Linked DNA regions of Sus scrofa. The protein of the gene in region 1 interacts with the protein of each later gene in a pairwise test. Links are inferred from orthologs where the notes say so. Each region holds a gene or a part of one and is shown in the gene's direction. Other genes may lie near its edges.

Region 1 (3,500 bases):
AAGTGCCTGCTTCAGACTGGGCATTGGGCTAGGTGTTGAGGGCACAGAATTGATGCTGAGGGTCCTCCTGCCCCTGAAACAGTCAGGAGGCGGCTGTTGTGAGTGATAGGTAACACAGGTGTGAGTTTACCTGCTTAGTGGTAGAGGGTGTCTTGTGGATGCAGTGCAGAGGCCCTCCCAGCCCCTTTCCTCCTTGTCTTCCAAACCAGAAATACATGCTTGCGTCGGCAGAGTTGAGAGGGTCTGGCTGGCGGCAGGCAGGCCAGCCAGCATGGAGGTGGCACGGCATGCTAGTTAAGAGGGCCTGGCATTGAGTTCTGGCTTTTGTGTGATAGCTGGGTCACCTGGGCGGGTTACTTCACTTTCCTGTGCACCTGGGCAGGTTACTTCACTTTCTTGTTTCTTTTGTGTGTGGGTGTGTGCGTGTGTTTTGTTTTGTTTTGCTTTGCTTTGCTTTGCTTTTTTAGGGCTGCAGTCGCAGCATATGGAAGTTCCCAGGCTAGGGATCGAATCAGAGCTGTAGCTGCCAGCCTACACCACAGCCGCAGCAATGCCGAATCCTTAACCCACTGAGTGAGGCCAGGGATCGAACCCACAACCTCATGGTTATTAGTCAGGTTCGTTAACCGCTGAGCCACAAAAGGAACTCCCTGTGTGTGTGTTTTGATCAGTATTACTGAGAATGGGGCTACCAGCTTCTTCCCAGGTCTGTCCCCTGTTGTCTGAATCAGTGGTTCTCAACTGGGGGTGATTTTGTCTTCTAGGACGTGGAACAGTGTCTGCAGACATTGTTGATTGTCAGGACTCTGGGGCGGGACTACATTGTAGGCTGTCTAGCCGCATCCCTGGCCTTTGTAGGTACAGGACTGTAGGGAGAGGTTGATTTGAAGTTTGAGCTCAGGTGGCCTGGTCACCAGGAAGGGCTGGACAGACCAGGAGGGCAGCAGGTCTTACAGGGCTTTTCCATCCCTTGAAGGGACTTCAGCTTTTCTCCTGAAAGGAGGAGCCCTGAGAGGGTTTGGGCAGAGTGACGCCATCCGATTTGGGGCGTAAGAGTCTCTCTCTAGCTGTGGATGGAGGCAGGGCCGTGGTCGAGGTCCAGGGCAATTGCAATGATCACCTTTTGGCAAGTGCTGTTGGAAGCGTGGCTCAAAGGGATTTTTTCTTTCTCGCCTTAATCTTCAGGTTTGGTTTATTAATATAAGCTAACCACAGGTGTTTCCTAATAGTTGCTGCCTGAGAAGTCCAAGGGAATGGTACAGCCATGAAAGAGAATTGGGCAACAGTTAATAATGAGTTTTACAAAGCTTTAGAGACCTAAGAAATACTTACAGCATCATACATGAAAATGGGAGAAGTTTTCAGTATGGCTGTCAGCCTCACCTGAATGTACCTGCTTAGGAGACAGAGACGAGATGGGAAGGAATACACTGCAGTGGAAATTACCTGCTTTCCTCTGGGTGTGGCTGGACTATGGATGATTTGATTTTCTTCAGACATTTTGTTTTCAGTTTTTTAAATCAGGCTACATAGGTTTTATCATTAGGAATATATATATTTAATTATAGCTGACTTACAGCATTATGCCAGTTTTTCCTATACAGCAGAAGTGACTCAGTTATACATGTACAAACACACCATACATTCTTTTTTTTTGTCTTTTTTTGCCTAGAAAGGGCCACTCCTATGGCATATGGACATTCCCAGGCTAGGGGTCCAGTTGGAGCCATAGCCACCGGCCTACGCCAGAGCCACAGCAACGCGGGATCCAAGCCACGTCTGCCACCTACACTACAGCTCACGGCAACACCGGATCCTTAACCCACTGAGCAAGGCCAGGGATCGAACCTTCAATCTCATGGTTCCTAGTCAGATTCGTTAACCACTGAGCCACGATGGGAACTCCTCCACACACATTCTCTTATATGTTATTTTCCATCATGGTCTATCCCAGGAGATTGGATATAGTTCCCTGTGCTCTACAGTAGGACCTTGTTGCTTATCCGTTCTAAATGGACTCGTTTGGCTACTAACCCCAAACACCCAGTTCCTCCCACTCCCTCCTCCCACCCTGTTGTCAGTCACAGATGTGTTCTGTATGTCTGGGAGTCTGTTTCTGTTTTGTAGATAGGTTCATGTCTTTTTTCAGCCACACCCTTGGCATATGGAAGTTTCTGGGCCAGGGATCAATCCAAGCCAGAGCTGTGACCTACACCACAGCTGTAGCAATGCCAGATACTTAACCCACTGTGCTAGGCAGAGATAGAACTAGCACCTCCATAGAGACAAGCTAGATCGTTAACCCGCTGCACCACAGTGGGAACTCCCGTGTGTGTGTCATATTTTAGTTTTCACGTCTGTGACCTACACCATAGCTCACGGCAATGCCGATCACTCACACACTGAGCAGGGCCAGGGATCGAACCCACATTCTCATGTATACTAGTTGGATTTGTTTCCGCTGCACAACGACGGGAACTTCCCATGTGTCATATTTTATTTTATTTATTTATTTAGTTGTTTGTCCTCTTAGGGCCGTTCCGACAGCATATGGAGGTCCCCAGGCTAGGGGTCCAATTGGAGCTGTTGGTACCAGCCTACCCCAGATCTGATCCGTGTCTGCAACTTACACCACAGCTCATAGCAATGCTGGACCCTTAACCCACTGAGCAAGGCCAAGGATTGAACCCGCCACCTCATGGTTCCTAGTCGGATTTGTTTCCGCTGCGCCACAACAGGAACTCTCCATGTGTCGTATTTTAGATTCCACATACAAGGGCTATCATGTGGTGTTTGTCTTTCTCTTTCTGACTTACTTCAGTTAGGGTGATAATCTCTAGTTGCTCATTAGGAATATTCTGTGAAGCCTCCTGGAGTCTGAGCCACAGCTGGTCTTTGACCTGCATCTGCAGCGTCCCCCAGTCCTGCTGAGAAGCGCTGGTCCCCCTCTGCCATCTTGATCCCTTTGGTCCACAGTTTCTTTGCATAGAGCTCTCTGCCCTTCACCCCAAATTTGGAGAAATGATCAATGCCAGCCTTTAAGTCAAACAGCAGCATGATATACACTGTGATCATGTTGTTTTACTTTGGTTGCAGGTAAAAAATAATTTTTAAACTCTCTTTGTTTTGGAGGTGGGGTTGTCTAGCAGATTAGCCATTTACATGTAATACTCCTTTTAAAACAGGCACCATGCGGGCTGTGCGGAGGCACCTGTTTCCGCAGCACTCAGCCCCAGGCCGGGGCATCGTCTGGGAGTGGCTGAGTGATGAAGGCTCCTGGACACCCTATGAAGCCAGCATCTGTGACTACCTGGAGCAGCAGGTGGCCAGGGGCAACCAGCTCGTGGACTTGGCTCCTCTGGGGTACAACTACACTGTCAACTATGCCACCCACACGCAGACCAACAAGACCTCCAGCTTCTGCCGGAGCGTGCGGCGCCAAGCAGGGCCCCCTTACCCAGTCACCACCATCATCGCTCCACCAGGCCACACAGGAGTGG
Region 2 (3,500 bases), on another chromosome or scaffold:
TTCTAAGAAATCTCTGATATCTCTGTGTTGGGAAAAGTGTTTAGCTCACTAGGAGTAGATATGAACCCACAAATCTACAGATTAGGAGGTCTAAATAATTTTACCTCTAGTTCAGAATTAAGTTCTTCAAAGTTCTTGGGTCTCTGTTTACTTTTCTCTGAAATGGAGGCAACACATTCTTCAAAGAGTATTAAAAGAAAAAGCAGGAGTTCCTGCTCTGGCACAGCTGGATAAGGATCTAGCCTTGCCACAGTTGTTGTGTAAGTCACAGCTGCAGCTTGGATTCAGTCCTTGGCCTGGGAACTTCCATATGCCTTGAGTGTGGCTGGGAAAGGAAAAACAGTTTGTATCTGAAAGCTATCTCCTTTCTTAACTTCTCCACACTGAATTAACTAATTGCACAGAAATGTACTGATGGTATTAGTTCAAAATGTAAAATGTTTTATCAGAGATATTATCTTCCCCCCACTATACTATGAGTACCTCAAAAGCCTCTAAGTCAGTTTTTTTATCTCCAGCACATGGAGGAAATTCTTTAAATATTGTTGAGATAATGTGTGATTTATGCGTACTGTTGGAAAAATACTTAACACTGGATTTGCAAAGTGTTCTGGGTCTAGTATAATGTGTCATATGCCTTTCTTCTAAATATGGTACCTGAAAAGAAGAGTTGTATTTCACTAGCTTTTTACTTAGATTTACTTTGATTTTACAGTCATTTAACCTAAAGCGTAACCTCAAGGAGATTCCTGAAAACCAGGAGATGTGATTCTGTTGGACTAGTTGGTGAAGCACCAACAGGTCGCTTAGCCTGCTCTCCTCTAAGGATCTCATGTAGGACCTGAGAGACCAACACAGCTTGCACTTTGAGAGTGACCTGGGAGAGAATAGGCTAGTTTACTTTGTTGACTTCAAATCTCTGCCCACTGCTTGTCTAGCAAGCCCCAGCAAGATTGCAGAGTGTACCCCTGAATGGAAACAGCAACAGGTCTCATCTGTCACAATTCTACTTCCTCTTAGTTTTACCCATGAAAGCTAAGACTTTATTTTCTTGGTGTTACCAGCTCTTTGCTTCTGGTGATGAAGAATGTGGCCTTCAGGGCCTTGTACTGATGCCAGAGGAGTTGGAACCCTGGTACTGTCTTTGGGGGGGCTTTGCTGGCACCTTAGAGAGGAGGAATCAGCTAATGTGCTTGTCGCCCTGCAGCCATGAGGAGTGGAACCAGATGCAGAGCCAGGAGGATGAGGTGGCCATCACCGAACAGGATCTGGAACTCATTAAAGAGAGGGAAACAGCGATTCGGCAGCTAGAGGTGAGAACCAGGTCATGTTTTTTGTCTGACTCGTATCTGTAATCTCTAATCCACCTTGCTTTTTCTCTTGGTGATTATGAAAAAAGACGAAATGAGTTGTTGTGTAGTTTGCATATTATGTCTCAAGGTAATCATGGTGAGCTTGAACTACTCTTACGACAGTATTGGCTATCATGTCTGAGAATACCCCAATTCTTTTCTCAGTCATCATATCTTATATGGTCTGCATGAGAGTATGTATAGGGAATAGAGCAAGGCAAACAGATATTTTATTGCTCATTAAGACGCTGTCTCCAGAGTTCCCATCTTGGCACAGCGGAAACGAATCCGACTAGGAACCATGAGGTGCGGGTTTGATCCCCAGCCTCACTCAGTGGGTTAAGGAACTGGCGTTGCCGTGAGCTGTGGTGTAAGTCGCAGACGTGGCTCGGATCCTGCGTTATTGTGGCTCTGGTGTAGGCTGGCGGCTTCAGCTCTTATTCGACCCCTAGCCTGGGAACCTCCATATGCCAGGGAGCGGCCCAAGAAATGGCAAAAAGAAGAAAAAAAAGACGCTATCTCTGAACCTCAGTGCCAACCTCTGGGTTTGGTAGAGCTCTGCAGAGAGCTTAGACCGAATAGCCCCAAATAAAGGCAGGCCAAAATGTTTGCTCCGTTTTTGTGCATCCCAAAGTTCACTCTCAAGTTGTGGATATCACCTCAGTGGGTCAGAGAAATAGGAACAGTTTCTGAGGTAGGTGTTGAGGGAGAGGTATTGAGGCCTTTCTTAGCTGAGTTCCCCAACTTTAATTTTGCACAATGACCAGTAAAATATCCTTAAACCCAAGAACTTTTCTCATGGAGATAGAAGACTGCCATCCCTGGGGCAGTGGGGAGAGGAGGGTTGTAGAGAGAAACTTGGAGCTCTTCACTGACCTTCATCTGTGGCAGTGGTTCTGAACCCTGACTGCATTTTAGAATTATTTGGAGATTTAAACAATTTTTATTGCCTTCAAAGATGTCATATCTTTCCTTCCCCCCCACCCCCTTTTTAATGGCCGCACCAGAGGTATTGGGAAGTTCCTGGGCCAGGGATTGAATTCGAGCCACAGGTGCAGAACACCAGATCCTTTAACCTACTGCACCAGCTCGGGGATGGAACTTGTGCCTCTGCTGCGACACAAACCGCTGCAGTTGGATTCTTAACTCACTGTGCCACAGCAGGAACTCTTTTTCTCTTTTTCACCTATTGCTCCTAATCATCAGCTTGATTCTTTAACATTAGAAATACTGTTATAGCAGGGGTAGAGTTAGGGTTAAGGAGTGGACTGCAGTGTATGTCAGGAGTGTAGTGGGCACTGCACATTCAACAGAATTAAGGCCAGATTCCTTAGGGCTGGATTTTCATATCCAGTCATTTCCTGCATTTAACATACAAACCCTATTCTAATGGTGGAGTAACACACTCCTGTGTGTCTCTTCTGTTCTCAGACTATACCTTGACACTTCTGGCCCCCAAATGTGTGGGTTTTTTCCCCATCAAGCAATTCTGCCACACCACAGGGATGTCCTAATTTAACTCAATGCTGACGCTTTCTACCTGGAGTTAGTTACATCGGATCACACAGGTTGAGGTTTCAGTCCCACAGGACACGCACACACATACACACAGACACACAACTTCAGATACCAGTCACAAGTCCAGATTGTCCCCTGTGGTTCTGACTGACATGGAGGTTCTTGTGATCACCTTCCTTTAGTTTGATTAATTTGCTAGAGCAGTTCACACAACTCAAGAAAACAGCTTACTCCCTAGATTACCAGTTTATTATAAAAGGATACATCTCAGGAACAGCCAGATGGCAGAGAGGCACAGGGCAGAGTTTGTAGGAAGGGGCACAGAACTTCTGTGCCCTCTCCAGGTGTTCACCAACCAAGAAGCTCTCAGAACCCTGTCCCTTGGGCATGATTGATTAAATAACTGGGAGTTCCTGTCATGGCTAAGTGGTTAACGAATCCGACTAAGAACCATGTGGTTGCCGGTTTGATCCCTGGTCTTGCTCAGTGGGTTAACAATCTGGCATTGCTGTGAGCTGTGGTGTAGGTCGCAGATGCAGCTCGGATCCTGCGTTGCTGTGGCTTTGGTGTAGGCCGGTGGCTACAGCTCCGATTAGACCCCTAGCCTGGGAACCTCCACATGCCGTGGGA
Region 3 (3,500 bases), on another chromosome or scaffold:
TGAGAAACCCGGTTTAACAGGAATATTTTTAATTTTAAAAAGTTATTCTCTATTTTAAAACCAGTTGTGCTTACGGTTGTGAAAAACCTGGAAAATACAGAAAATATTAAGAAGAAAATAAAAGCCCTCCATAATCTCCTGGCCTAGAAATAACCTAGATAGATAGGAACCTGGAAATAATCAAAATAGGTTTTGAGTTTTGTGAGTTTTCATGAGTTTTAGGTTATATGCATACACATTTCCATGTGTTTCACACTCTTGGCATCCTATGGGACATAATGCATATCAAAAAATCTCAATGCAATACTGTTTTTCAAAGCAGAAATCCCCTGCTCAGGTTTGGACAATCTAACAGAGTTTACCAAGCTAGTAGGTGTGGCCAGACAATCAGGTTCCATTTTCAAGTGATAACAACCCAGTCTTTCTCCCACCATTTCTCTCTGAAAAGACAAAAAAGTGCAGCCTCCTATAGGCTATAGCACACTGCTCTCGGGATGGTTCAACCTCAGCCTCAGCCCTGCTTTCTATTTCCTAACATAATATTATATTACCCTCTGGGATTCAGTAAACCTCAAACTCTTTAATAAAATGATAGTTCTAAACTGCCCCTTTGACTTTTACATGATAAAAGATTATTCATTTAAATGGCATAATTCTTCAGGGCAGAATTTAATTTTTGCTAAAGAAAAAGGATATTTCAGAAAGCAGGAAATTCACAGGTCTAGCTTACTTGATTCCTTAGCTTTCAACTAATCTGTTGCATTTAATGAAAGCACTGCATTTCATTATTATTCATTATCAAAATGAATAATCATCACTAGTGACAACTTATTCTTCCCTAGTGTATAAATATAAACTTATATTTCAATATATACCAAGACAGATACACTTATGATGAAAATTTTGAAAAGTAAAGAACTAAGGATTTTTTGTTAAGCATTTTCAGGATATAAAATTGATTTCTTTAACATATTTAATCTACCTGTCATTCCTTTTTATGTTATGCGATTATTAATAATTTCTAGTTGTAGGTTTTCTCTTGGGTTCAAAGTAGAGCGTGAAAGTCTGCTTTCTTTTTTTCTTTTTTTCTTTTTGCGTGGTAGATGACTCTATCACTGTGTTCCAAGAACTGAAAGATCTGCTTAAGAAGAATGCCACTGTGGAGGCTTTTATCGAATGGTTGGATACTGTGGTAGAACAGAGAGTTATTAAGGTATTTTTCAATGAAAAATTCTAAAAATAATTTTTTTTGATAATGCTAAATGCTAAACTGGCTATAATTTCTTGAATGCTTGAATGATGGGGGATGGCAACAGGCTGTGTGTAAAAATGCTTTGAAAAGCTTTTGAAACCCTGCAAATAAGGCAAATCAAATATCATGGTTAGACATATGGCAGATTTGAGAGCACTAGGCATAGACTGAATTCTGCTTATCATTTTCGGACAGACTGCAAGACACTATGCCTTCCCTACCAGTCAGTAAAGTTACAGTGGAGTAACATCAATAGTGAGAGAGAAACTGAAAAACTGGAAAGATCTGGCCCTTTTCTTAAAAATCACACTTTCATAAAAGCTGACAGAAAATATGATTTTAAATATCTACATTTTTAAATTCTAGGAGCTCAGTATTTTGTGTTTTCTGTGTGGTTTCTTCAACTCTTTCAGTTAACCTTCAAGTCATCCATCATGAAACAAGGCCATAAGAACAAATATATCCATCACCAGTTGGTGTTAGCCATTCCATATCAAGGAAACTAGTTATAGTGTAAGGACTTTTTTTTTCTCCTGGAAGGAAAACAGATTATCATTCAGGACCAGAGAAGTCAGAGTTAATCATTCACAGAAATATATAACCTTTCCTTCACACTTCACCTTCTGCTCTTTTTAAAGCTCTGTCAAAGGAAAATTAAGAGAGAAAATACTTTGTAAATTATTTCATTTTGTTGTCCAGTTCTATTAGGTGACAAAAACATAGTGAATAAAGATCTATTAACCTTAAAAATGGCAGCAAAGACAGATCAAAAATGAAAATCCCAGAACAACTCATTTTATTTGATGATAAAATGGCATGCCTTGCCATCTGTCCATTTGTCAGAAAGTTTATCTACTGTTTGATCACATGTAGGAAGCATGTAATAATGAGATGACAGATTTTTATAGTTTCATTTTGTCACTTTACTTTTAGACCAGCAAACAGAATGGAAGATCGTTAAAGAAGAGGGCTCAAGACTTTCTGCTGAAGTGGAGCTTTTTTGGTGCTCGAGTAATGCATAATCTCACCTTGAACAATGCATCCAGTTTTGGTATCTTAAGTGCTTTATAAAACTCTTCTTAGATAAATTATATCATTCATTTGTCAGTCACATTTCCTATCAATTTTTAAACATGTGGCACTGTCACTTCTTACATTTGACTACTGAGCCAATAGAGAATGGTAGTTATTAGCCTGGGTTTTGGAATCAGATCACTTGCAGGGTTAACTCCTAACACTGCTTCTCTTTGGCTTGGCTTTCGCCCAAGTTAGTCTGCTCATTGTAGAAATGGAAGAATATTTCTTTCATTGGGTTATATAGGCTCTTGAATGAGGTGATATAAATAAGACCACATTGCCTAACACCCGGTAAACACAATAAATAGCAGCTATCACCATTATACTTCATCAGTGCTTGGATAAATTTTCTTTGTTAAACAAACAAATAAACAATAATTAATACATTATTTTCCAAAGGCACTATTCATTGCAATATGGAAAATGTTTGCATCTTTTCCAGGAACCCGCATAGCTGTACTCCAAGAATCAAAGAGCAGCTTAGAAGACATGCTGTCATATGTTTCTGAACCATCTTTCCTGATCTATACGACTTATGAAAAATTGAGTCAAGTTAGCTTTTTCAAAAATTGAATACCTTCTTTTCCCTAAAATTTCTCAGACTCCTAGTTTGTAATTATAGTGCTATCTCATGGACAGTACTTCTGCATTTAGTAGTTGCATTTTGAGAAATCATCACATTGTAAAGTAGTTGCAATTAAGAAAACTGTCTTTATTTGATTTTCAACAGCATTAGATAAGATCAGTGAACTTACATTGAGGGATGAACAAAATATATTGAGTCTATTTGAAACAGCTTGCTTCTATTTAAGGCTTCTTAAATTATACAGCATTTAAACCTGACTTTATTATGAAAAAAGACTTGTTGGGAAATCTGTTGAATAGTAAAAATAAGCTTAAGGTTTTCTAGGACATCTTCCACATGAAAATTACTCTTTTCCTTTTTTTCAAATGAAAGAGCATTTTGTTCCAGGTTAGAAAGACATCTTCTTACTTGACACTTTTTTCAGACCATGCTGGCCATTGTCTAATTATTTAGTACAAAGTAAACAGAAATAGAGCAGAGTAGAGCTCATTCTCCTCAGGTTAAAGCTTATCACACTCCAGTGTGTGCCCTCTTAAAGCATAAAGCATGTCTCACTTTCATCCGTATTTTCCTTTGATGTAATTA
Region 4 (4,111 bases), on another chromosome or scaffold:
AGGTTGCGGGTTTGATCCCTGGCCTTGCTCAGTGGTTTGAGGATCCGGCGTTGCTGTGAGCTGTGGTGTAGGTCACAGACGAGGCTTGGATCCCCATTGTTGCTGTGGCTCTTGCATAGGCTGGTGGCTACAGCTCCAATTCGACCCCTAGCCTGGGAGCCTCCATGTGCCACGGGAGCGGCCCAAGAAATGGCAAAAAGACTAAAAAGAAAAAGATAATATATCTCCTGCTAACAGTCTGATATAACAGCGCTGGCACAGTAAATGGTGTCTGTTTATGAGAGTCTGGGACTAAATAATGAGAGGATGCTCAAATTTACACCCCCTCTTCTGGCCCCCAGCACTGTCGGAATGTAATTACAAAAGCAGAAATTTCTCAACTAAGAGTACCACTTCTTACTCATCCCAGCAGCTAGACAGAGCGTTTGGTCCACCTAGAAGGCACTCAGGAAACGTCTCTTGAGTGTTGGAGGAATGAATAAAAGCATTTCTCCCGAAGAAAACATTAGTAACAACAATGTACCCTTCTGCACCTTTTTTTTTTTTTTTTTTTTTTTAAGGTCCACACCGGGGCATATGGAGGTTCCCAGGCTAGGGGTTGAATTGGAGCTGTAGCGGTGGGCCTATGCCACAGCCACAGCAAAGCGGGATCTTTAACCCACGGAGTGAGGCCGGGGATGGAACCTGCGTCCTCGTTGATACTAGTCCGTTAGCTATAGCTGAGCCACTAGGGGAACTCCAGGAATTGTCTTTTTGTATAAGGGAAGGTAACAAGCCAGGCTCAGGGTGAGAGCGGGGACTCCGTGGGAGGCCTAAGATCTTTCGTGTTTACACACTGCCTGTGTGTTCGAGAACCACGAAGCAGAACTCTCTTGCTGAGTTGGAGCTGTGATTTGGTCGCCCAAGGGAGAAAGGGTAACCGGAGAATTGTGGAATAACAGCGGTGAGGGGAAAGGATGACTTAATATGGCGCCAGAGTGGATGGGTTGTGTAGAGTGATTTTTCCTCCCGCTTGATTAGTCCAGTGCCTGGCACCTAACAGTAGGTCGGAATGATTTGAGACTGATGGGATAATACAGAATAAAGGAGGGGGACGGATTACAGCAGTCGGTGAAGCGGGGATTATTATTCCACTGTGGAGATGAAGACACTGAACCCTGAAAGTGCCTTCAGCCGGGGATGTAGTCGGTCAATGATGAGCCAAAACCCCGATCCAAGATGCCAGTCCGGATCCTCCAGCAGCTCTCCCTAGAAGTCCCAGCCCCGCCCCACGCACTAAAAGTTCCGGATTCCGCCCCGCCCCCTTGGGGGACTTCCGGTCACGAAAGGTGGGATCCGCGGCCTGGAGCTGTGGGGCAGTAAAGTCCGCACCGCCAGGGCCACCGGGTACCTTGGGCTTGGTGACGGCGGTTGCTGCCCTTTATTTCTCGGGTCACTACTGGACGTTACGCGGCAGCCATTTCCTTCGTGTTGGCCTGAGGCCTCGGCCCCAGGGTAACGTCATTTCCGGGGCTGGGCGGACAGGCGAAGGAGGAAAGGGCTCCAGCCCCGCTTGGTGGGGGGAGGACTCGAGGCGGGTCTGCTCAGTATTTCCGGGTTTTGCGCAGGATCGCTGGGGGTTTTAGGAGAGGCGTTGTCACGAGTTGAGTTGCTGGGTTTTGCAAATAAAAAGGCAGGGCGTGTAATTAAATTCGAATTTCAGGTGAACAACAGATAAGTTTTTAAGGGTTCCTTTGTGGCTCAGCGGGTTAAGGATCTGGGCGTTGCCCCTTGCAGCGGCTCTAGTCGCTGCTGTGGCGTGGGTTCCACCCTTGGCCCGGGAATTTTCACATGCTCCTGTTGCGGCCAAAAAAAAAAAAAAAGGAGTTCCGGTGGTGGCTAAGCTAGTATCCCTGAGGACGCAGGTTGGATCCCTGGCCTCACTCAGTGGATTAAGGATCCCGAGTTGCTGGGAGCTGTGGCAAAGATTGCAGACGCAGCTCGGAGAATTTGGCATTGCTGTGACAATTGGTGTAGGGTGGCAGTTACAGCTCCGATTGGATCTCTCGCCTGGGAACTTCAGTACGCGGTGGGTGGGGCCCTAAAAAGACAAATAATAATAATAAAATTTTTTTAGTATAGGTATGTCCCCAACATGGTATGGAGGTTCTTACATTTAACAAACTACTTGTTTATCTGAAATTCAAATTTAACTGAGTGACTTGTACTTTATCTGGCTACCTTAGTCTTGGGCGCCCCCTGCCCTGGGCTGGGATCCTCTAGGCCCCTATCCATCAGAGAAACTGGTACAAAGTTCACCCAGGCTGAAAAATCAACTATTGCTACATGCCAAAGGGCTTTTACCTCTAATTCTAATGGCCCAGCCCCAGAGGTCCTAGGCCACAGCTGAGCCCATTTTGGATCCCTTTGTGTTGCCTTTCACAGCTGATCTGGGGCATGCTTGGTTCTCTTCCGGGAAAGCTGAGTTTCATGTAGACTAAATGGCTGAAGGCTAGAAGTTGCCAGGTTTTTTTGCTTTTTGTTTTTTCCTTCCTCCCTCCCCTCCCTCCTTCCCTGGCCATAGATTGAATATGCTGCAGCTGTGGCGATGCAGGATCCTTTACTGCACCAGGCCAGGATCGAACCTGCCTGTATGAGCAACCAGAGCTGCTGCAGTCAGATTCAGCAGGTTAAGGATCCAGGCGTTGCCACTTGCAGGGGCTCTAGTTGTGGCTGTGGCGTGGATTCCATCTCTGGCCCAGGAATTTCCTCATGCTGTAGTCGTGGCAAAAAAAAAAAAAAAAAAAAAAAAAAAAAAGGAGTGCTCATGGTGGCTCGGTGTTAACAAACCCCTGCTGTAACCATGAGGATGCAGGGCTTCAGGGCAGGAACTTCTGACAGGTTGTTTTTTATTTTTTGTTTTTGTCTTTTTAGGGCTGCACCTGAAGTTCAGGTTCCCAGGCTAGGGGTCAAATCAGAGCTGTAGCTGTCTGCCACAGCCACAGCAATGCCACATCCAAGCTGTGTCTGTGACTTACACCACAGTTCACAGCAACGCCGGATCCTTAACCCACTGAGCAAGGCCACGGATCGAACCTGTGTCTGCATGGATGCTAGTGTCAGATTCGTTTCTCCTGAGCCATGATGGGAACTCCTGCCGGGTGTTTTGAGTGTGGGATAAGATGATGTTTGGGTTCCATTGTTAACAGTGGACAGCTTCAGAGAGTCCAGAGATGTGCAGGGGAGACTATTAGTCTTAATCTCATTCCACTTTTCTTTTTACACATGAGGCCCCATGAGAGAAATCGAGCTGTCCTTGTGGTGGATCTGGAGCCTGATTCCCAGCCCCTTTCTCTTGCTCTGTCCACACTTGCTGCTGCAGTCAGCTGTCAGCATTTATGGTGGGCATTTATTAAAGTAATGCCTTTTTTTTTTCTTTTTCTGTTGTACTTGTAGCATATGGAAATTCCCAGGCAAGATGGAATCTGAGCTGCAGCTGTGACCTATGCCTCTGTCAACACAGGATCCTTAACCTGCTGCATCACAGCTGGAACTCCAATAATATCTTTTTCCTTTGTCACAGCCACACCTGCGGCATATGGAAGTTTCTGGGCTAGAGGTCAAATTGGAGCTGCAGCTGCAGGCCTACACCACAGCCATAGCAACACCAGATCCAAGCCACATCTGCGACCTACAACACAGTTTGCAGCAATGCTGGATACTTAGCCCACTGAGTGAAGCCAGGGATCTAACCATCATCATCACGACACTATGTTGGGTTCTTAAACTGCTGAGCCACAATGCACATTCCAGTAATGCCTTTTTCGAGGTGAGCTCTTTGGGACTTTATTGTCCCTAAACTCCTCTGCGGCCTCTTGACCTTCACCTCAAGACTTCTTTAGCCTTTACTGTGCCCAGTGGGGAAAATGACTACTTGGCCTCAGCTGTGGGAGCTTGGCCTTTGCCTGCTCCAGCCACACGGCTCTCACCTCTGTGGGTGGTGTGACCCAAGACTGGTTATGTTATGTCAGAGCCAAAAGTCATGTGTTCAGCAGGGGTGGGTCTGACCATGTAGGTGGAAGGGCATCCTTTTCTGTCCAACAGATTGGGCCCCATGGTACCTGTGGCCATG
Region 5 (3,500 bases), on another chromosome or scaffold:
GAACTCTGTCCTCTCCAAGCCTCAGTTTCCTTATCGGCAAAACAAATAGGATCGGACAGTCCAGAGCCCCACCTTCTAAAGCCTCTGTGCCTGTGGTTCAAGGCCAAGGGTCTGAGAGAGGGGATTCTGGGCGGCTCCTGCCCAGAGAGGGTCACGGGCGCTGGGGGTGCCTCTTCCTCCCGCCAGATGTGGAGTCAAGCTCTCCCTCTGGCCTTACCCTGTCCCTCCTGCCTGGTCGGTCCCATTTCTGGCCCTCCCCTCCCCCTCCTTCCCCATCCCTCACCCCTGCGTCTGCTTAGCTACCTGCTTCTGCCCATCACCACCTGCCCAAGGTGCGTCCTGACCGGGCAGCTCAGCATTTACCCCCATCCCTCTCTCCCTGCCGCAGGACGGGCGGATTGAGTTCTCCGAGTTCATCCAGGCGCTGTCGGTGACCTCGAGGGGAACCCTGGACGAGAAGCTGCGGTGTAAGTCCTGCCCGCTGGGCTCCGTCGGGCGGCCGCTGGGTCGTCCTGGGCTGGAGGGAGGCCAAATCTCTGGGCCAGGCCGTCTGTCCAGGACTGAGGGTGGCACAGACGTCCTGCCCTTCCAGGTCGGAGGTGGTTTCCTGGAGGCGGCCAGGCGGGTGGACAGATGGGGCAGGAGCACAGGGCATTCTCGAAGGTGCACCTGGCGCCGGGCAGCGTGCGGTTCAGACCCGGTTCCAGGGCTGGATCCAGCACTCGGGAGGCTGTTTGGATGACTGACGGCGTGTGTCCATTTACTGGTTCACCTAACAGTTATTGACCTAACGTGGCCTCATGTCTGTGCTGGGCTGGAGGCCCGGAATCCACAGGTGTATGAGATCGAGGGGCACCTGCTCTCGTGGCTGTCCCTGTAGCTCAGGGACTTTATCCAAAAGAGCCCATAAAACTGCAGCCGGGGCTGGAAGAGGGAGGTGTGAGCCGATCAGAGAGGAACTGACCCTGTTATGAGTTGGGAGCCGAGCTGGGAAGGGTGAAGCTGGCAGGGGGTCGGGGGGCGGGAAGAGGGTTCCAGGCAGGGGATCAGCATGTGCGAGGCCTGAGGAGGGTCGAGAGAAGGCTACTGGGGGAGAGGCTGCACCCGTGCTGGCGCGAGAGGGGATCTAGCAGGAAGATGAAAGCAGCTGGGCCGGGATTCACTTCCCACTGAGACAACTTCACCGCATCGCATCGGCACCGAGAAAGCACTGCAATTTCTTTCTTTCTCTTTTTAGGAATAAAAGAGGATTTTATTTATGCCAAAGCTCCTCCCCCCTCCCTAGGCATATTATTTTCTTTTCCAAGTTGACCCTAGCTGGATCCAGCATAGTTGTGGAAAGGGGGTGGGCCGAGAGGAGGCAGAGGCAGGGGTGGGGAAGGAGAGGGGTGGCTTTAGGGCTGCTCCTGGGCTCCCTTCTGTCTCTCAGCATCAGCCTCCGAGGCCTCAGCTCTTACAGACCCAGCCCCCTCGGTTTATGTTTTGGCTGTGCCTGCGGCCTATGAAAGTTCCCAGGCCAGGGATCGAACCTGCACCACAGCAGTGACCCAAGCTGCTGCAGTGACAAGGCCAGATCCTTAACCCGCTGCACCACAAGAGAGCTCTGCCCCCTCCTTTTTACATTTACGCTTTTTCAGTAACTAGGTGACATGGTGTGTGTGTGTGTCCCCTGTCTGTCTTGGCGGGATGAATAACGGGGCTGTTGGCGGGGTGCCGAGGGGAGGGGGAGCGGCCGCCAGCCCAGCCCCGGATCAGGGCTCACTCGCCCTGGCTGCTTGACTGCAGGGGCCTTCAAGCTCTACGACTTGGATAACGACGGCTACATCACCAGGAACGAGATGCTGGACATTGTGGATGCCATTTACCAGATGGTGGTGAGAGGCCTGGGCCCTGGGGGTGTGGGGGTGGGGGCAGCAGCAGGGCATCAAACTCAGCGATGGGGCCTGGCCCAGAGGCGGCATCCCCACGCGGCCGCCCTCCTGCCTGGGGTGGGAGCTGGCAAGTGAGGGTCACTGCCTGGGGTTGCTCTGTGCCTCTTGGGGGAGGGCGGGGGCTGCTGATGGGGCTGGTCCAGAGCAGAGGGCGGATGGGGGCACGGCAGGGAGTGGGAGGGAGACGCAGTCTTCACCTGGAACCAGTTCAGGTCTGGGGGGCATGGTTGGGGGCCAAGGGCCCAGAGGGCAGAGGGCCAGGAGCCGGCCCCACCTCGCCTGTCCCCGACAGGGCAACACCGTGGAGCTGCCAGAGGAGGAGAACACCCCCGAGAAAAGGGTGGACCGGATCTTTGCCATGATGGACAAGGTGAGACCCCTGGTGTGATGGCCACTGGTCCAGCCCGCAGACATGCAGGGTTTTAAGTCAGTTCGTCCAACCCTTTTTCCTTAACTCAGCTTCTTAACCTTTTCAGTTTTTGCCACAGACCCCTTTGACATTCTGGAGAAGCTGTCTCAGAATGTTTTTAAGTGCATCAGATAACATTCGTAGGGTCAAAAAGAAAGCTATTTTGGAAGAGACTTATCCCATTTTTTTTGGCCACACCTGTGGCATGTGAAAGTTCCCGGGCCTGGGATTGAACCGGTACCATAGCAGTGACCTGAGCTGCTGCAGTGACACCACCAGATCCTTAACCTTCTGTGCCACAAGAGAATGCCTCAAAATATTTTTTAAAAAGTATTTGTGATGTGGTTTTATATGAGCTGCTTCTTCTTTTTTTTTTTTCTTTTGTCTTTTTAGGGCCGCATCCGCGGCATGTGGAGGTTCCCAGGCTGGGGTCTAATCAGAGCTGTAGCCGCTGGCCTACACCACAGCCACAGCAACGCCAGATCCGAACTGTGTCTTCGACCTACACCACAGCTCATGGCAACGCCAGATCCGTAACCCACTGAGAGAGGCCAGGGATTGAACCTGCAACCTCATGGTTCCTAGTCGGATTCGTTTCCGCTGCACCACGATGACGGGAACTCCCTTTTTTTTGTCTTTTTAGGGCCGCACCTGCGGCATATGGAGGTTCCCAGGCTAGGGGTCTAATCGGAGCTGTAGCTGCCAGCCTACACCACAGCCACAGAAACAAGGGATCCGAGCCACATCTGCTACCTGCACCACAGCTCACGGCAACGCTGGGTCCTTAACCCACTGAGCGAGGCCAGGGATCGAACCCACAACCTCATGGTTCCTAGTCAGATTCGTTAACCACTGAGCCACAACGGTGGCTGATAAGGTTGAGTGGTGGGTTTAACCAGCCCGAATTTCAAAGTGCTGATCTGTCTTCTTGATGCTTTGCAGCAGCTGTGATGTGTTACAAAAATGCTGTGATCTCCACAGCTGACAAAGTCACAGGTACTTCTGGTTCCATGGGGGATTGTCACCTAGATTCATTATGGAAGGAAGCGCTAAATTTCAGTTAGATGTTAGTGAAAAGAAAGACCTCCTTTTTCCCTATTTTAGTTCACAGACCTGCTGAATTCTATCCAAAGACCCCAGGTTAAGAAAGCCTTCTTTTT
Region 6 (3,933 bases), on another chromosome or scaffold:
TGGCTGATGTTGGGGAAATCAGGAGCAGCCCCTTGAAACAAGCATGGGGTGGTCCCAGCTGATACCTGAGTTGTCCTCTCTCTACCCTAGCCTGACCATCTTGACACCAGATCCACACATGCCTTGGTCCTCCCTCGAAGTGTCTTTCTTTCCCACCTCTTCATATCCTGCTCATTTCTGCAAAGCCTGCTTTGCATTTTCCCACTCACTCTACCCTCTCTCCGCCCTCAGTCATTCACCAGGGACCACAGTGCCTCCCCAGGCAGCTGTGCGCTTCTTGATGCAAATACCTTATTTTGCTCTTCTCCTGGCCACCCCAGACTAGAGAACCACAGATCCCCCGTGGTTCTCTTTCCATGGTGCACCCAATACCTAGCTTTGTGCCTGGTACACAGCAGACATTCAACTTCGTGGAATCGATAAACAAATGAATATCATTAAGCGCCTATTAGTCAAATCAATAGTGACAAATACTCCCCGGAAGACAGTGCTTATTTGAAAATACATCCCAAGCATTTTTTCTCTATGAGTCTCTCCACCCCCTAAAGGCTTCTTTGGAAGGATTTAAGACAAACTGATGGTTTTGGCAAACATGTCTACATTTAGGGGCCATCTTGCCCTTGGCGGCTCTCACCTGGGATGTGTTCATTCTTCCATGGGCCCTTTGCAGGGCGCCACTATAGTGTCGTTTTTTTCCTAAGAGCCAAGATCTCCCCACAGGCATCCTAGGGTCTGGCAGAGAAACAATCCCTTCAAGCTTAACTTCACCAGGATATGCAGACAAAAGCCATTTAAAGAATCTTTATGAGGTGGCTGCATAAATAAGGCTCTTGCAACAACTTCGGGTAATAACCAATGACGGTCACCATGCAAGAAGGAAAGCAGAGCTGACAGCCTTTCTCAAAGCCAAGTCATTCTCTATTTCCCCGGGCCGGTGGCCTCTGCCTGGGTGTTTACGTAGTGTACTTGGAAGCTGTCTGAGGCGGTGGCCTTGGAGGTGTCCGTGGCCTTAGGAGTTCCTGAGCGCGGGGGCCATGGCTCTGGCCCAGGGAGCCCAGCAGCGCAGCCCTGGCATGCTAAGTGGGCAGCACTGGGGCGCCTTTGTTCCTCGCCACCGGCTCTGAGGACCCGCTTCCCTCTGCATCTTAATGGGCTGCGCATCCACGCCGCCCCCCTCCCCGCCCCCGCCCTGGCCCTTCTGGCCTAGGGACAGCGCCCTCCGTGATGCATCCCGGACACCTGGGGTGGGGGACCCAGTCAGTAGGGAAGAGGCGCGCCTCGAGTCCCAGCCGGGGCAGGCCGAGCACCTGCGCGGGCTCAAGGGGGCGGACCCCCGACTCGGGGGTCCCGCCACCCGCGGCCCCAAGTCTCGCGGTGCTGCGGCCTGGTCCGGGGAGCCGCGAACCCGCGCCCCCCGCCGCGTGACAAAGACAGGAGCGGGAGGAGGCGGCGGCCAGGGAGGGGGCGGAGGCGATAAAGGCGGGGGCGGCGGGCGGCCGCGGCGGCGGGAGAGCGCGGAGGCAGCGCCCGCCCGCGCCGTCCTTTGTGTGGCGGCGGCGGTGGCGGTGGCGGCGGCGCCTGGGCCTGCGCCGGCCGCGCCTGCCCCGGGGGGCGCCGGGCTCCGCGCCGCCCCTCCGCGCCCCGCCCGGCGCGCGCCCAGCCTTCCGAGCAAGATGGCAACCCCGGCGGCGGTCAACCCTCCGGGTGAGTAGCTGCCGCGGGCCCCGCCGCCCGGCGCAGCCCGCAGGCCCCGCCTGGGGCCGGAGCGGGCCGGAGGCGCTGGTCGCGCCAAGCGTCCCTGGGAGCGCGGAGCCGGGCGCTCACCGCCCCCCGGGTTGGGTGGGGGGGCGGCTGTCATTCGGCGCGGCAGCATCAGCACCAGCACCAGCAGCGGCATCTTCATCCCAGTCTCTGCCCCATCTCGGTCTCCAAGATGCGCCGGACGCTGGCCGCGCATCCCTGGAAACCAGAAGGGCCGGTCGGGGATCCCCTTAAGTTCCGAAAATAACTACCTTTGCTTTCCCCATCCGACACATTTTTCTCTTCCGGTCCGGCCCCTGTCGCATCAGGGCGGGTAGGAGGGTGCCGCGCTGACGGAGGGAAAAGTTTGGAGCCAGGATTCAACAGGGTGGATTCTCCCCGATTCTCCCTTGACCGCCTCGCCCCGCCAGCGCAGGTCCTTTGAGCCTTTTTCGACCAGCTACTGTGTACCCTCATCTTTAATACCCACCCACCCACACACACCCGTAGAAACGTGGAGTGGAGAAGCCCGGACCAATTCAGCATCCTCTGCTTTTTAGGGCTGACCTGTTGGCAGGGTGCGATCTATGACAACTGTGCCCATTGGGAATATTTCAGAAATGGGAAGACATCATGATCAAGGGAGAATATTGAATTGTTTGGGGACTGTAGCCGGGAAATTCTATTTTCGTTGGGAAAAGGCCCTACCTTTTGAGTAGGACAACCTGAAGGGTGTCCGAGCATGGAGAGGGAGACACCTAGGCTGACTGATACCAAGTTTTGGGTGTTGTGTAGTGACTGCTGCGGCCATGGCATGGTGCTCGGTCCCTGCGAAGGATGCAGGGAGGTCAGGCAGAGGCCAGCCCTCAGGAAGTTCCCGGTACAGGGAGGTGGGGGCGGGGGGGGGTGTTGAACATCTACAATGCCTAGCAAAGAAAAAAACATGTATCACAGAGTTAAGAGTGAAGGATCCTTTCCATCTAAAGTGGTAAGGGAGGGCATTTAGAGATCTGGACTTTTGAAGAATGGAAGATTTGAATACACGGAGCCAGGTGCTGAAGGGACTTGCAGGAAGAGGGGATGGTGCAGTGATGGTGGACTTCCTCTGAGCATGTGCAGGTGCCAGCCAGGGGTGGGGGCACTGGGGGTTTAAGAGGGAGCAGCGGGATTTCACAAAGAGTGAATTGGCAGTGGCCAGGCTTTAGAGGGCTTTGAAGGACAGGCTAAGGAGTGTGAACTCTCTCCCTCCACAGTAAGAGAGAGTTCTCCAGGGTGTCAAACAGGGAAGTCACATGATCCCAGCACTTCTGGAAGATTAGCAATGTGAGGTGGCCTAGAACAGGGGAGCAAAACTGGAGGCAGGGAGGCCGGGTTGAAATGAGGCAGGTGCTGGGAAGGTGAGAGTTAGCAGCACCATCTTGGAATAGAGAGAGGAGGGATAGCATCACTGGGCTGGTGGAGGAACACAGAATTTGCTTAGATTTGGAGTAAGGGTAAAGGAAGAGACCACGGATACACAGAGGTGAGATGTCCGTGGAGACACGGAGGTGCAGAGCCTGAGTTCGGAGGAAGGAGGTTCTGTTAGTCTGAGTAGGGAGTCTTGGAAGAACAGTTGAGTTCTCTGTCCAGAATGCTGAGTGGGAACGTGGCTGGTTTGAAAGCAGTTGTGCCAGTTTGCTTGCACCTGAAACCTCCCATTGCAACCTGTTCAGCTGCTTAAAAATCAAGAGCAAATTGATCAACTTAAATGTTAGGACATTAAAAAAAGTAAAAGAAGTTAAACAAAGGTATTTTAGTTTGATATAGGTTTACATTGGGAAGTAGAAATAACATCAGAGGCAATGTACACACACACACACACACACACACACACACACACACCCCCATTTAAGGCATTTTGTCCATTACATTGTTCTGTGAACTGAATGGTAGAAATATAGGACAGCTGCCCGGCTTGGTAGTGCTGAACATTAATGCCTGTGCCTTGGACTGTAGGACACCTGAATTGTGCAGGTGCAAGGGATTGTTTCTATTATTTGTAAACACCTCGGCCCGCTTGATAGACAGTGATGCCATTTCTTTTCTCTGTTGGCATAGATGCCAGAGATCTTGAGCGTGGTGAGACCTTCTCGAGGGGAAATTCCCTGAGGGGGTCACCTTTCCTCTTTATCCACTGTCTTTCCTTTGATCGGT
Region 7 (3,500 bases), about 110 kb from region 1:
GTTCTGCAGATGCTCTTCCCTATGACAGATGAGAGTGAGAAAGGCCAGGGCTGAGGAAGGGCCCCAGGACTCCAGGACCCCATCTTTCTTTTGCAGAAAACACACCGGTTCATTTACTACACCGACACTGGCTGGGCTGTGGGGGCCGAGGAGTCCGACTTTGAAGGCTGGGCCTTCCCCTTCCCCGGGGTGACGCTGATTGAGGACTTCGTGACCCGGGAGGAAGAAGCCGAGATGGTGCAGCTGATGGACCGTGACCCCTGGAAGCTCTCACAGTCTGGACGGAGGAAGCAGGTAGGTCGGTGCAGAGTGGGGGAGGAGGGCCGGCCAGTCACGCAGGCCTTTGGGGACAAGCCCGCCTGATCTGGGGGGTCAGGGGGGCCAGGCTACTGAAGGGGGTGTGTGTCACGGAAGGGGCAGGGCCTGCTCACTTTCCTGATGAGACCCCGCTGGCAGGGCGGGCTCAGGCAGACGGCCCTGAGCTCTTCCCACCCTCTCCCCAGCTGCCCAGGGCTGGTGCCCATCACGAACTGTTTCTTTTTATTTATTTATTTATTTTGTCTTTTTGCCTTTTCTTGAGCCGCTCCCGTGGCATATGGAGGTTCCCAGGCTAGGGGTCTCATCGGAGCTGTAGCCACCAGCCTACACCAGAGCCACAGCAACGCGAGATCCGAGCCACGTCTGCGACCCACACCACAGCTCACGGCAACGCCGGATCCTTAACCCACTGAGCGAGGCCAGGGATGGAACCCGCAACTTCATGGTTCCTAGTCGGATTCGTTAACTACTGGGCCACGACGGGAATTCCCATGAATAGTTTCTTGAAGGTCACCAGGTGCCCCCTCCCGTCCCAAGTTTTCTCCCCATCAGTTTCTCATCTCCTCATGCCTGTTGCCACTGATGCTCAGGCGTCCACATCCTGAACCTTCTCTTTGTTGGGGATCACAGCCCCTCCTCCTTGGGTCCACTCCTCTCTCCTGTTCCTCATCTCCAGCAGCCCTCGCCCCCTCCGGGACCTGCCATCAGCCACCTTTCCCTCCTCCTGTCACCTGGCCTCCCCCATCCTCAGTCCCTCGCCCCTTCCCTCTCTCAGTGTCAGGCCCTTCCGCTCCGCCACAGCCCCAGCGGGTCCAGCTGCCTCCCCACCTGCCCCCGGCCTCCCGGCTCTGGCTCTCCACCCAGAGCAGGCTCTTCCTGCTCAGCGGTCCAGCCGACCTCCTGCAGGCCCTCCACTGACGACCGCGCCTCTCTGGGAGAATCGGTGCCTCCACAGGGGTGCCCGTGTGCACACTGCCCCCTTCTGCCTGCGCCCAGCTTCTCTCCGAGGCCCCCTCCAGCTGCGAGCCGGCTGCCAGCCCCTCTTCTCAGAAGCCCTCGTCCCCGTCCCTCCCCTCTCTCCTCAAGGGCGGATCTTCCTGGCCTCCCAGGAAGCTCCGTTTCTCCCGTCTCTGCAGCAGAGCTTCTCAAAAGAGTTATTTCCGCTCTCCTTGCTTAACCCACAAGAAAACCGCCACGCCTCAACTCAGCGGCCAGTTGTCGGTGGGCCCGGCTTGGCAGCTGGGCTCCCCACTCGTGTCTGCAGCCCCTAAGCTGAGCTGTGGCAACAGGTCCAGACCCACAGCCCTGCCTCGTCTCCATCTTGGCAAGTTCCATCTTCCACTGCCCAGGCCAGAAACTGTGGATCTTTCCAGATTCTTCTCTATCTTTCCCTGGTAATTCCTGTCAGCTCTTTGTTTCTTCAAAACATATCCTGAACCTGAGACCATCCCCCGACCCCTCGCTGCCGCTGCAGCCCCAGCCCCTCTGAAGTCTCAACAGGGAGGAAGTGACCCCACTGACACCTGGTCGATTGAGTCACTGCTGTGTTCCAACCCGCCAGACCTCCCGTCTCAGCATAGACACAGAGGCCTTCTCATGCCCCGGAAGACCCTGCACTGGCCACCAGCCTGAATTTTGTCTCCACTTTCTGGGGTCAGGTGGCCCTCTGGGGCTGGCCGGCCTGGCACTGAGCGGTGGGGACGGGGAAGGGGCGAGACTCCCCTCCAGATGGAGCCACCCTCCACTCGGGGTCCCCTCACCTCAGGCCACAGATCTGCGGTTCATTCTCCAGGGCTTCTCCCTAGTGCTGTTTTGGTTTGGTTTTTATTTATTTATTTTATTTTTTAAGTAACCTTTTTTTTTTGCTTTTCAGGGCCTCACCTGCGGCACATGGAGGTTCCCAGGCTAGGGGTTGAATTGGAGCTCCAGCTGCTGACCTACACCACAGCCACACACACAGCAACTCAGGATCCAAGCCACATCTGTGACCTACACCACAGCTCACAGCAACGTGGGATCCTTAATCCACTGAGCGAGGCCAGGGATCGAACCTCATGGTTCCTAGTCGGATTCGTTAGCCACTGAGCCATGACGGGAATGCCTTAAATACATTTTACTGGAGTAAGCATATTTGACTTAGTTTTGTTTTTTAGTTAGAATCCACCTACCGTAAACCCACCCATTTCAAGGGTACAAGGCGCTCCTTTGGTTTTCAGCGTATCCACAGTGCTATGCAGCCATCACTACTCTCTAGTTCTGGAACATTCTCATCACCCCAGAGGAAACCCATACCCATTACCAGTCACTCCCCCCATTCCTTCATCCCCCAGCAACCACTAATCTACTTCCCATCTCTTGGATTTGCCTCTTTGGGACAGTCCAATGCCTGGGATTCTGTAATCCGTGGCCTTTGAGTCAGGTGTCTTGGACCGGGCTCAGTGTTCTCAGGGTTCTTCGCTTTGCCGCCTGTATCAGGGCTTTGGTCCTTTTGGCAGCGGAACGTCCCATTGTGTGGCTAGACTGCCATTTGTTCGTTGTTCCTCTGCTGGTGGACACTTGGGTTGTTTCCACATTTTGGCTGTCGTGAATATTGCTGTGAACATTCGAGCGTCGGTTTCTGTGTGGACACGTGTTTTTTTTTTGGCGGGTTTTGTTCTGTTTTTTAATCTCAGAATTCTTTTTTTTATTCTTTTCTCTTTTGGCCACCCCCCAGCATATGGAGTTCCCGGGCTGGGGGTCAGATCCAAGCTGCCATTGTGACCTATGCTGTAGCTGGGGCAAGACAGGATCCTGAACCTTCTATGCTGGGCTGGGGGTCGAACCTGTGTCCCTGCACTGCAGAGATGCTGCCGATCCCCCTGTGGTACAGCAGGAATGCCTGGATGTGTGGTTTTGATTGTCTTGAGGGGAAGCTGGGACTGGAACCGCAGCTGGGTCCTGTGGAAACGGATCTCGTCTGTAGTCCCGAAGCCCAGCTGTGCCCCGTGTGGACCCGCCGGGTACGGCTGCCTTGGGCTGGCCTGCCCTGCCTCGCTGCTCTTCCTTCCAGAGGCCTGACTCCTCAGCACCACATCCTGGACGCCACCCGCCCCCAGCCTCTTGTCTCTGGCGCTGCTTCCTGGGGAACCTGGGCAGAGACATGTCCCTGGCATTTCATACCCCCACCACCCCCGCTTTAGTTT

What was found.
Region 2: the proteins of DTX2 (region 1) and STX12 interact in binary tests that used the Homo sapiens proteins (3 or more experiments, as listed by UniProt). The two-hybrid records come from large-scale screens. The link is inferred for Sus scrofa from reciprocal best matches to the Homo sapiens genes DTX2 and STX12.
Region 3: the proteins of DTX2 (region 1) and RFX6 interact in binary tests that used the Homo sapiens proteins (3 or more experiments, as listed by UniProt). The two-hybrid records come from large-scale screens. The link is inferred for Sus scrofa from reciprocal best matches to the Homo sapiens genes DTX2 and RFX6.
Region 4: the proteins of DTX2 (region 1) and GLYCTK interact in binary tests that used the Homo sapiens proteins (3 or more experiments, as listed by UniProt). The two-hybrid records come from large-scale screens. The link is inferred for Sus scrofa from reciprocal best matches to the Homo sapiens genes DTX2 and GLYCTK.
Region 5: the proteins of DTX2 (region 1) and NCS1 interact in binary tests that used the Homo sapiens proteins (3 or more experiments, as listed by UniProt). The two-hybrid records come from large-scale screens. The link is inferred for Sus scrofa from reciprocal best matches to the Homo sapiens genes DTX2 and NCS1.
Region 6: the proteins of DTX2 (region 1) and ARNT2 interact in binary tests that used the Homo sapiens proteins (3 or more experiments, as listed by UniProt). The link is inferred for Sus scrofa from reciprocal best matches to the Homo sapiens genes DTX2 and ARNT2.
Region 7: the proteins of DTX2 (region 1) and ALKBH4 interact in binary tests that used the Homo sapiens proteins (3 or more experiments, as listed by UniProt). The two-hybrid records come from large-scale screens. The link is inferred for Sus scrofa from reciprocal best matches to the Homo sapiens genes DTX2 and ALKBH4.

The regions. Positions count from the first base shown.
Region 1 is NC_010445.4:9,908,867-9,912,366, reverse strand, and holds part of DTX2 (probable E3 ubiquitin-protein ligase DTX2), read left to right. Parts: intron 1-3,185; coding exon 3,186-3,500. UniProt on the Homo sapiens protein: Regulator of Notch signaling, a signaling pathway involved in cell-cell communications that regulates a broad spectrum of cell-fate determinations.
Region 2 is NC_010448.4:84,949,827-84,953,326, forward strand, and holds part of STX12 (syntaxin-12), read left to right. Parts: intron 1-1,207; coding exon 1,208-1,313; intron 1,314-3,500. UniProt on the Homo sapiens protein: SNARE promoting fusion of transport vesicles with target membranes. Together with SNARE STX6, promotes movement of vesicles from endosomes to the cell membrane, and may therefore function in the endocytic recycling pathway.
Region 3 is NC_010443.5:44,773,721-44,777,220, reverse strand, and holds part of RFX6 (DNA-binding protein RFX6), read left to right. Parts: intron 1-1,103; coding exon 1,104-1,213; intron 1,214-2,185; coding exon 2,186-2,303; intron 2,304-3,500. UniProt on the Homo sapiens protein: Transcription factor required to direct islet cell differentiation during endocrine pancreas development. Specifically required for the differentiation of 4 of the 5 islet cell types and for the production of insulin.
Region 4 is NC_010455.5:34,432,092-34,436,202, forward strand, and holds the start of GLYCTK (glycerate kinase), read left to right. Parts: upstream 1-1,311; 5' UTR 1,312-1,494; intron 1,495-1,685; exon of another isoform or gene 1,686-1,702; intron 1,703-3,703; exon of another isoform or gene 3,704-3,808; intron 3,809-3,918; exon of another isoform or gene 3,919-4,111.
Region 5 is NC_010443.5:270,315,194-270,318,693, forward strand, and holds part of NCS1 (neuronal calcium sensor 1), read left to right. Parts: intron 1-388; coding exon 389-467; intron 468-1,785; coding exon 1,786-1,874; intron 1,875-2,223; coding exon 2,224-2,301; intron 2,302-3,500. UniProt on the Homo sapiens protein: Neuronal calcium sensor, regulator of G protein-coupled receptor phosphorylation in a calcium dependent manner. Directly regulates GRK1 (RHOK), but not GRK2 to GRK5. Can substitute for calmodulin. Stimulates PI4KB kinase activity.
Region 6 is NC_010449.5:49,257,985-49,261,917, forward strand, and holds the start of ARNT2 (aryl hydrocarbon receptor nuclear translocator 2), read left to right. Parts: upstream 1-1,133; 5' UTR 1,134-1,148; coding exon 1,149-1,704; intron 1,705-3,933. UniProt on the Homo sapiens protein: Transcription factor that plays a role in the development of the hypothalamo-pituitary axis, postnatal brain growth, and visual and renal function. Specifically recognizes the xenobiotic response element (XRE).
Region 7 is NC_010445.4:9,799,731-9,803,230, reverse strand, and holds part of ALKBH4 (alpha-ketoglutarate-dependent dioxygenase alkB homolog 4), read left to right. Parts: intron 1-96; coding exon 97-294; intron 295-3,500. UniProt on the Homo sapiens protein: Dioxygenase that mediates demethylation of actin monomethylated at 'Lys-84' (K84me1), thereby acting as a regulator of actomyosin-processes.